Macaca fascicularis: one gene and its partner. The protein of the gene in region 2 purifies or fractionates together with the protein of the main gene of each other region. This does not show direct contact. Links are inferred from orthologs where the notes say so. Each region holds a gene or a part of one and is shown on either strand. Other genes may lie near its edges.

Evidence for each region.
Region 1: the proteins of EPC2 (region 2) and MBTD1 purify together in Homo sapiens (affinity purification with mass spectrometry; 3 studies listed by BioGRID and IntAct, with this or other methods). This does not show direct contact. The link is inferred for Macaca fascicularis from reciprocal best matches to the Homo sapiens genes EPC2 and MBTD1.

The regions. Positions count from the first base shown.
Region 1 is NC_088390.1:55,519,166-55,522,665, reverse strand, and holds part of MBTD1 (MBT domain-containing protein 1), read right to left. Parts: intron 1,313-3,500; coding exon 1,121-1,312; intron 1-1,120. UniProt on the Homo sapiens protein: Chromatin reader component of the NuA4 histone acetyltransferase complex, a multiprotein complex involved in transcriptional activation of select genes principally by acetylation of nucleosomal histones H4 and H2A.
Region 2 is NC_088386.1:44,214,531-44,218,553, forward strand, and holds the start of EPC2 (enhancer of polycomb homolog 2), read left to right. Parts: upstream 1-1,223; 5' UTR 1,224-1,491; coding exon 1,492-1,644; intron 1,645-2,190; exon of another isoform or gene 2,191-2,405; intron 2,406-4,023. UniProt on the Homo sapiens protein: May play a role in transcription or DNA repair.

The DNA of each region.
Region 1 (3,500 bases), on a different chromosome or scaffold from region 2:
ATTTACAATCCTAATTAGTTTTTCATACAAAAGTAGTAGTGTAATTTCCTCTGGATGTAAGAATATCACAGTGATCTTCAGAGAAACAGAGTGGGAAGGGGGCAAGGTGGCCTAATACATTGTGAAGGAGGGAAAAGCTAAAGAACGTATCCTAAAATGGCAAAGAAAACCCCCAAACAACCAACAACGGAAACAAACAAGAAAACCCCCATAGGTGCAAAAATATTAGCAAACAGAAGAAGAAGAAAACAGAGCTAGGTAACAAAAGTCTCACCTAGGTTTTCAACATACAAGACATTTTAAAGAATGCTGATTAGAGAAAACAATTTAGTCTAAAAGCAATAGTTAGCATATAGCAGAACACATGCCAAAGCAGGTATAACTTTGGCTTTGAAGCTGTATGATCTGATCTGTACTCAGGCCTGAAGTTCATCATGCCTAAGTGAAGTCCTCATACCCTATGATAATACCATGCTTGTTCTTAGTAATTAAAAAGGGCAAAGCCTTCTGTAGTCTTCCTTATAATCTACTACCTTGGCCTAACCAATTAAACTCAAATCAAATGCCACTGACTACTTAATCACTATACATACATAATCATGAACTTATGGAAATAAAAAAATTACGCAGGTATTCAATTTCCAAATTTGTTATTCAACTAAGATTGTGATCAATGTTACTGCCAAAACTAAAATTAAACTGGAACTGAAAACACATCCTTTCCATGAATGAGACACTATGAAATGTTATGAACAAAGCCTTTTCTGTCTTTTTAATCGGACTTATCCCTAATGACACACTTTGTTCCCAGGTCAAGTCACATACAATTCTGCAATGCGGAATGTTAAAAAACCATGAAATATTCCAAGTTGTCTCACAATTCCAACTACCCTTATTTGAAGCTCGGAACTATTTTATAACAAAGTAAAAATCCTTCCCTGACGTTTGGTCTTAGTGAAGTGACTACTAAGGACTAGTGAAATGAATTCTTTAGTTGAAAGAAAAAGAAAAAAAATCCAATGAGTCAGCATCTGTCATGCCAGACCATGCTTTGTCTCCCACCACCCTACCCAGTACTTTTACCCTCTGAAGTACCTGAGATGCTGATGTGACTAATTACCTGTTTTGAGGCTGGGACTGAACTCTCGGCTAGTGCTGGGAGGTGGGAAGGCCTCCGGGGCTGTCTGTGCTGGAAGGGTTCGATATGGAGGAGGAGTCAACTCTTCGTCACCAGAGAAGCTCCTCCGCACCCCACCTGTCATGGGCAGGCTCGACAAACTGACAGGCTTCTTCCCAATTGGCATCTTCCTCTCTAAATATCAAGTCAGACTAAAGTAAGCTTTCACTTACATGTGTGGTAAGAAAAGTGCATTATATAACTAGGAAAGCTGTGCTGCACAGGACACTCTGAAAAGAGAACCAATTATGCAAAGTTTGTATTTCTGAAAACAAGGAAGAGAGAGTGAGTGTGTGTGTTGGGGGAGATTGTTTCTACTCTCTGAGAGTCTGGTAATACTAGTTCTGACTCTCAAATTTAAAACAAGACAAAGTAAAATGAATTACAGAGAGCTTTAAGAACAGCTGGCTAATTTCTTTCAAGAACATCTCTGCTTGAGATGGGGTAAAAACCCAAAGGAAGAAAGAAAGCATCTTAAAACACTACTTTTAGGGTAGCATTTCATAGCTCATATAAGCCCAAACACTGGTTGGAGAAATCAAAGTAAAACAGTTTAAATGTATTATCTGGGTGTAGGATGTTATTGGTATGAAATGTGCTCCCCTAACTTTTTAGTTCACAATTCACTCTTTTAGAAAACACAATTCTTGTTCTAAAAAGTACTTCCAAATTCAAAGCTTACTGCCTGCACATTCTTAAGCAATCTGATTTCTTCTGAAACAAATTTATCAGGCTGGGCATGGTGGCTTATGCCTGTAATCCCAGCACCTTGGGATGCCAAGGCAGAAGAATGAGGATGGTTTCAGGCCAGGAGTTTAAGAACAGCCTGGGCAACAGAGTGAGACCCATCTCTACAAAAAATAAAAAAAATTAGCTGGGCAATGCCAGAGTCTGAGGTGGGAGATTTGCTTGAGCACAGGGGTTCAAGGCTGCAGTGAGCTATGATTGCACCACAGTGCTCCAGGCTGGGCAATAAAGTGAGACCTTATCTTAAAAAAAAAAAAAAAGTATCACACCCTTCAGCTATAGTTTCCTATACAAATATAATCCTTTCAAGACACATATAATGCTTTTGCCAACCAAAAAAAAAATACTCTGAACTCTGCAAATATTGAAGAATCAAGTATAGTACATTAATCATATTGAAAGTTGAAGGATCAGCAGGGTACAGTGGCTCATGCCTGTAATCCCAGCACTTTGGGAGGCTGAGGCAGGTGGATCACTTGAGGTCAGGAGATCAAGACCAGCCTGGCCAACATGGCGAAACTCTGTCTCTACTAAAAATATAAAAATTAGCAGTGAGTAGTGGTGCATGCCTGTAATCCCACTACTTGGGAGGCTGAAGCAGGAGGATCACTTGAACTCGGGAGGCGGAGGTTGTGGCGAGCCAACATTACACCACTGCACTCCAGCCTGGGAGACAGAGCAAGATCCTGTCTCAAAAAAAAAAAAAAGTGGAAGGATCCTTATCTTTGTGACTGAGTTATGTCTGTTTTCTTCCAGATGATAGAATAAACCAAGTAAGAGCAATAAAAAATTACGCTTCACAAAATCAAAACTAAAAGATAATAAGCCACACAGTATTCCTATGTAAAATGATGTGGGATTTAAGCTGTTATTGAGTAGATTCAATTCTCAAGAGCCAAACCAAAATCACATGCAGCAAAAACTTCAGACTTTTTCCTAATATACTACATACTCAAGAGATAAAAACGCAAGGAGTAATGTCCAACTCTTACTACTTACAGTAGTCCCTGAAAATGGTGAGATTTAAAGCAGAAACCAGTGCTGCTTTTCCCGCTCTAGAATTACCACATCTTAAGGAAAAGAGGCTTTTGAGACTAGAGAGTGTGTATGATCCTTGTGGCAGAACCTTATACTTATTCTCAAAAGTGTTAGTAATTATCCATCCTTCGTGGCATGAACACAACCTACTACAAAGCAAGCTAGACCAATGAAGCTCATCAGCTGTTTCTGCACAATAAGCACTACCAAAGAATATACCACTAACAGATGATCTTAAGTTCAAAAAGACCAACAAGCTATACGATGAAACAACAGAGCCAGAATATGATAATTTATCAAGGCAAACGTAAAAACAAACAAAAGGTTTTATAGCCCATCTGATATTGATATCAGTTTGCCTGCAATGGATGACAGGTTTCTAAACCCCAAATACTTATTTGTGTAACTAAAGCTTAGTGAGAAAACTTTCTAACAAACTGTTTGCTGACTAATAGAAAAAAATAAGAGGAGGCGGCACCATGAGTGAAAGCTGCTGCTTGATGCGGCACTACACTTCCTTATCCTCAATTCCAACATT
Region 2 (4,023 bases):
TCAACAATAGCTAGTACTTATTTGAGTCACCTTGATTTTCCCTCCTCTTGAGAACTTTCTCTAACCTGTTTAGGCTGTAGTCATGCCTCCTTTCTCTGAACTCTCACAATTATTGCCTAGATCTCGTTTGGTAATTAATCATGTCCTACTTACTGCCTGTGTCATCTCTTGTATTGTTTTCTTAAAATATTTACACTTTTTTTTCGGTTGTCATTTATCTTTCCAGCTGTCATTTTCTTTAACTATTTACATCTCTTACTGTTACTCATCTTTCCAGCAGTCCTGGCATTCCATTACGGTGAAAGCTCTCTGAGGCAGGAACCTTTTCTCAGACTTCTTCGAGTCTTCCACAGCACCCCACATTTGACACACATCTGCTACTTCGCAAATGTGTGCTGCCTTGGTTAAATTTTTAGAAGCTGAACTTTTAGTAAAGCTACTATTTTTGAACTCAGAGAAATACCTACCATCCACTAAACAGCTGTACCGAAGTTTCGGTGACAGGGAACCTAAGTTCACTTGTTGCATCTGGCAGCCTCAAACCATGAACCCTTACTGCTGCCCTGAGCGTCCTCCTCGCGAAGCCGAGGACTAGCGCGCTGCTGCACCTTGGAGAGCTCTTTCGGACAGGTACGGAGGGGAGGGCGGCGGAGAGGGCTGGCACCAGCAGCGCGGCGCCCCTCGGAGCAGAGTGATGGGAGAGACCTGTCGCACCTCTCCGGGATGAGCGCCTCGGAGGATGCGAATTAGCCTGCGCTCAGGGCGCCTTGGGGGATAAGCGCTGTCCGAGTACAGGCTTGGGTGATGGCTAGTGGGGTCCGGGTCGACATCTTCCCTTCCCGCTCCCGGACTTCTGCACACACGCGCTGCTCAGCGCAGCAGTCTTTGCCCGGCGCCTTCCTGCGGGACACCCAGCGAGAGGGATGACCGGGCGGCGGAGGCAGAGGCGCACGCTCCCGGGCGCGGGCGAACTTGCGCACCTGGCACCTGCCACACAGCGAAAGCACCGGCCGGCGAGCGGAGGGGCGCCGCAGCCGCCCCCTCTGCCTGGAGCGGACCGAGACCAGCACGCTCCCGCGGGCCGGCAGCGCCGCGTAGAGAGTGGGTGGGCAGGCAAGGGAGGGGAAGGGAGAGGAAGGAGGGAGGGAGGGAGAGGGCGAGGCGCGTTCCCGCGGCGGGGGCGCGCTCTCGCGCGGGCTGCCGGGATCGCTCGCCGCCGCTGTGGTAATGTCCGCCATGTTGGCCATGGCGCAGGGAGCGGATCGGGCGGGCGAGCGGCGGATCTAGTGTGTGGAAGCGGCCGCGGGCGGCGGGGGGCTGTTTTCGGGCGGGGTGGGCGCCCATGCTGTGGCCGGGGGCAGTGAGGAGGAGGAGGAGCGGGCCGGCCGCGCTGCACTGAGGAAGGAGGTGGAGGAGGCGGCGGGAGTCCTCCCCCCCTCCCCGCCCGCCCCGCCGCCGCCGCCCGGGCTGTTCCTGTAAGGCGGGGAGACAATGAGTAAACTCTCCTTCCGAGCGCGGGCGCTGGACGCCGCCAAGCCGCTGCCTATCTACCGCGGCAAGGACATGCCTGATCTCAACGACTGCGTCTCCATCAACCGGGCCGTGCCCCAGATGCCCACCGGGATGGAGAAGGAGGAGGAATCGGTAGGGACTCGAGTGTTTATTACCCCCCCTTCCCTCCTCCCCCCTCCCCTTTGTCAGTCGGGCCTCGCCATTCACAGAGCGCTTTACGCTCGCTGGAGGGCGCCGCTGCTGCTCTAACGCACGGGACTCTACGCCGGCGGAGTAGCGTAAACCCTCTCGGCTGGCGTAGCGCCCGCCCGCGGCCGCCATGTTGTTGCGTCCCAGTGTTGTGATTAGCTCGCAGCGCTGCTTACGCTGCCGTAAGGGGGCCTTGCCGTAAGCGGCGGCCGGGAATGGCGCAGGGGATGCGCTGGCCGCACTTGGCGTACGGTCTCTGTTTACCTTCCCACCTCCCTCCCCCAGGCGCGGGGCTAATTAATGGCGGGGTGTTATTTGGCTAGGCAAGATGATTATTTTTTCCACTTTTAAATTTTGTATTGGGTTCTCTTTGAAATGACTGTAGAAGGGCGCTTTCAAAACAAACATCTTCCTCCCAGCAGTGTAATCATCCTGGCTTCCCCGCCCGCGACGGTGCAGCGGGATGAGGCGGTACAGCACTGCGGCGGGGGAGGGCGGGGACCACGACTACCGACCGGGTAGTAGCGTCCGAGAGCCGCCCGCCGGCCAGTTCAGCCGACCCGACCCGAGCCGGGCGCGGGGTGGACGGGCTCTGACAGCTTCGCCGAGACGGCCGTGCTCCGTGCGCAGTGTTAGAGAGGAGCCGGGGATGCCCCGGAGCGAGCTGCCGGCGTAGCGTTGTCCTCGAGAATTGTCATTGCGAGGTGATCCTTAGAAGTTGAGGACTTAGTGCATCTAAATTGGCAGTTGTAATTTTGATAATACAGCACCTTTTGGGAAAACTGCTGCTTTTTCTCCGATGGGTTAAATTTTGCAGACGGTTGAATATCTGGCTTAACAGAGAGTGTTTATGACTCGAGTGGTGTTACTTGCTTGCGAAGTTCATAGTAACTGCACCCTCAAGAATTTCTTCAATGAACCTGCAGTCCCGCCTTATTGTCAACCTCGGGTGTGTGTGGATTGGTTCTCTTGCTTCTGTGGCTGTCAAAAGGAAGCTCGAGGTTTCCGTGATTGGTTTTCTCTTTTGACTATTAATATTGCAGGAAATGCTTTTATGCCTTTGATTGGCTGGTCGAGTTCTGACCTCACTGTGTTACCCTGTTATTACTACTTTGCTCTGATTTAATCACATTTCTCTTTGATTACTTGAAAGTCTTATATTTTCAGTAGAAAATGAATATGGCCGTAGTATCAGGATGAACTTAACTGTGTGTGTATACAAACGTATATGTAATACATATATATACATGCACATATACATATGTGTGTGCATAGATATAAATATATATCATCAAAACAGCATTTATCTCTAAGGTTTAGAGCTGTGAGAACTTTTTTTTGTATGTGAGAACTCTTTTATTTGTTTCAAACTTGACTCAGTTTTCCATGGGAAGGAAAATTAAGGTAAAATTATGTTATGTACAATAGTTAATTGCATTGAACCCTAATAAGCACAACTTTGGATATTTTTGCTATTTTGTGGGTCTTGATCCAAAAGAAAGATGGTCTTAAAAGTACCAGTATTGTGTGTAATTACTTGGATCCTATTATTTTAGAACTTGAGTCAAGAAATCTATTCTAGGCCAGGCGCGGTGGCTCACGCCTGTAATCCCAGCACTTCGGGAGGCCGAGGCTGGCGGATCATGAGGTCAGGAGTTCGAGACGAGCCTGGCCAGTGTGGTGAAACTCCGTCTCTACTAAAAATTAGTCGGGCGCGGTGGTGCGCGCCTGTTGTTCCAGCTACTCGGGAGGCTGAGGCAGAAGAATTGCCTGAACTCGGGAGGCAGAAGTTGCAGTGAGCAGAGATCATGCCACTGCACTTCAGGCCTGGGCGACAGAGCGAGACTCCATCTCAAAAATAAGGAAATCTGTTCTAGAGTGAACAGTTAACTCCTGGAAGATATATTACTTTTTGCAATCACCAACATATATGGTCCTTAGTATGCCGCATATGTTTTGGTATTTTATCTTAATTTAGTAAGATTACTTACAGAGTAACTTTTTCATGCTTCATTAAAAATATAAAAGTGCTTAACTCGTGTTGCAATTTTTTTGTTTGTTTGTTTTTTGAGATGGAATTTCCCTGTTGTCGCCGAGGCTGGATTGGCGTGATCTCGGCTCACTGCAACCTCTGCCAACTGGGTTCAAGCGACTTTCCTGCCTCAGCCCCGCTGAGTAGCTGAGATTATAGGAGCCCACTGCCTCGCCCAGCTAATTTTTGTATTTTTAGTAGAGTTGGGGTTTCACCATATTGGCCAGGCTGGTCTCAAACTCTTGACCTCAGGTGATCACCCGCCTTGGCCTCCCAAAGTTCTGGGATTA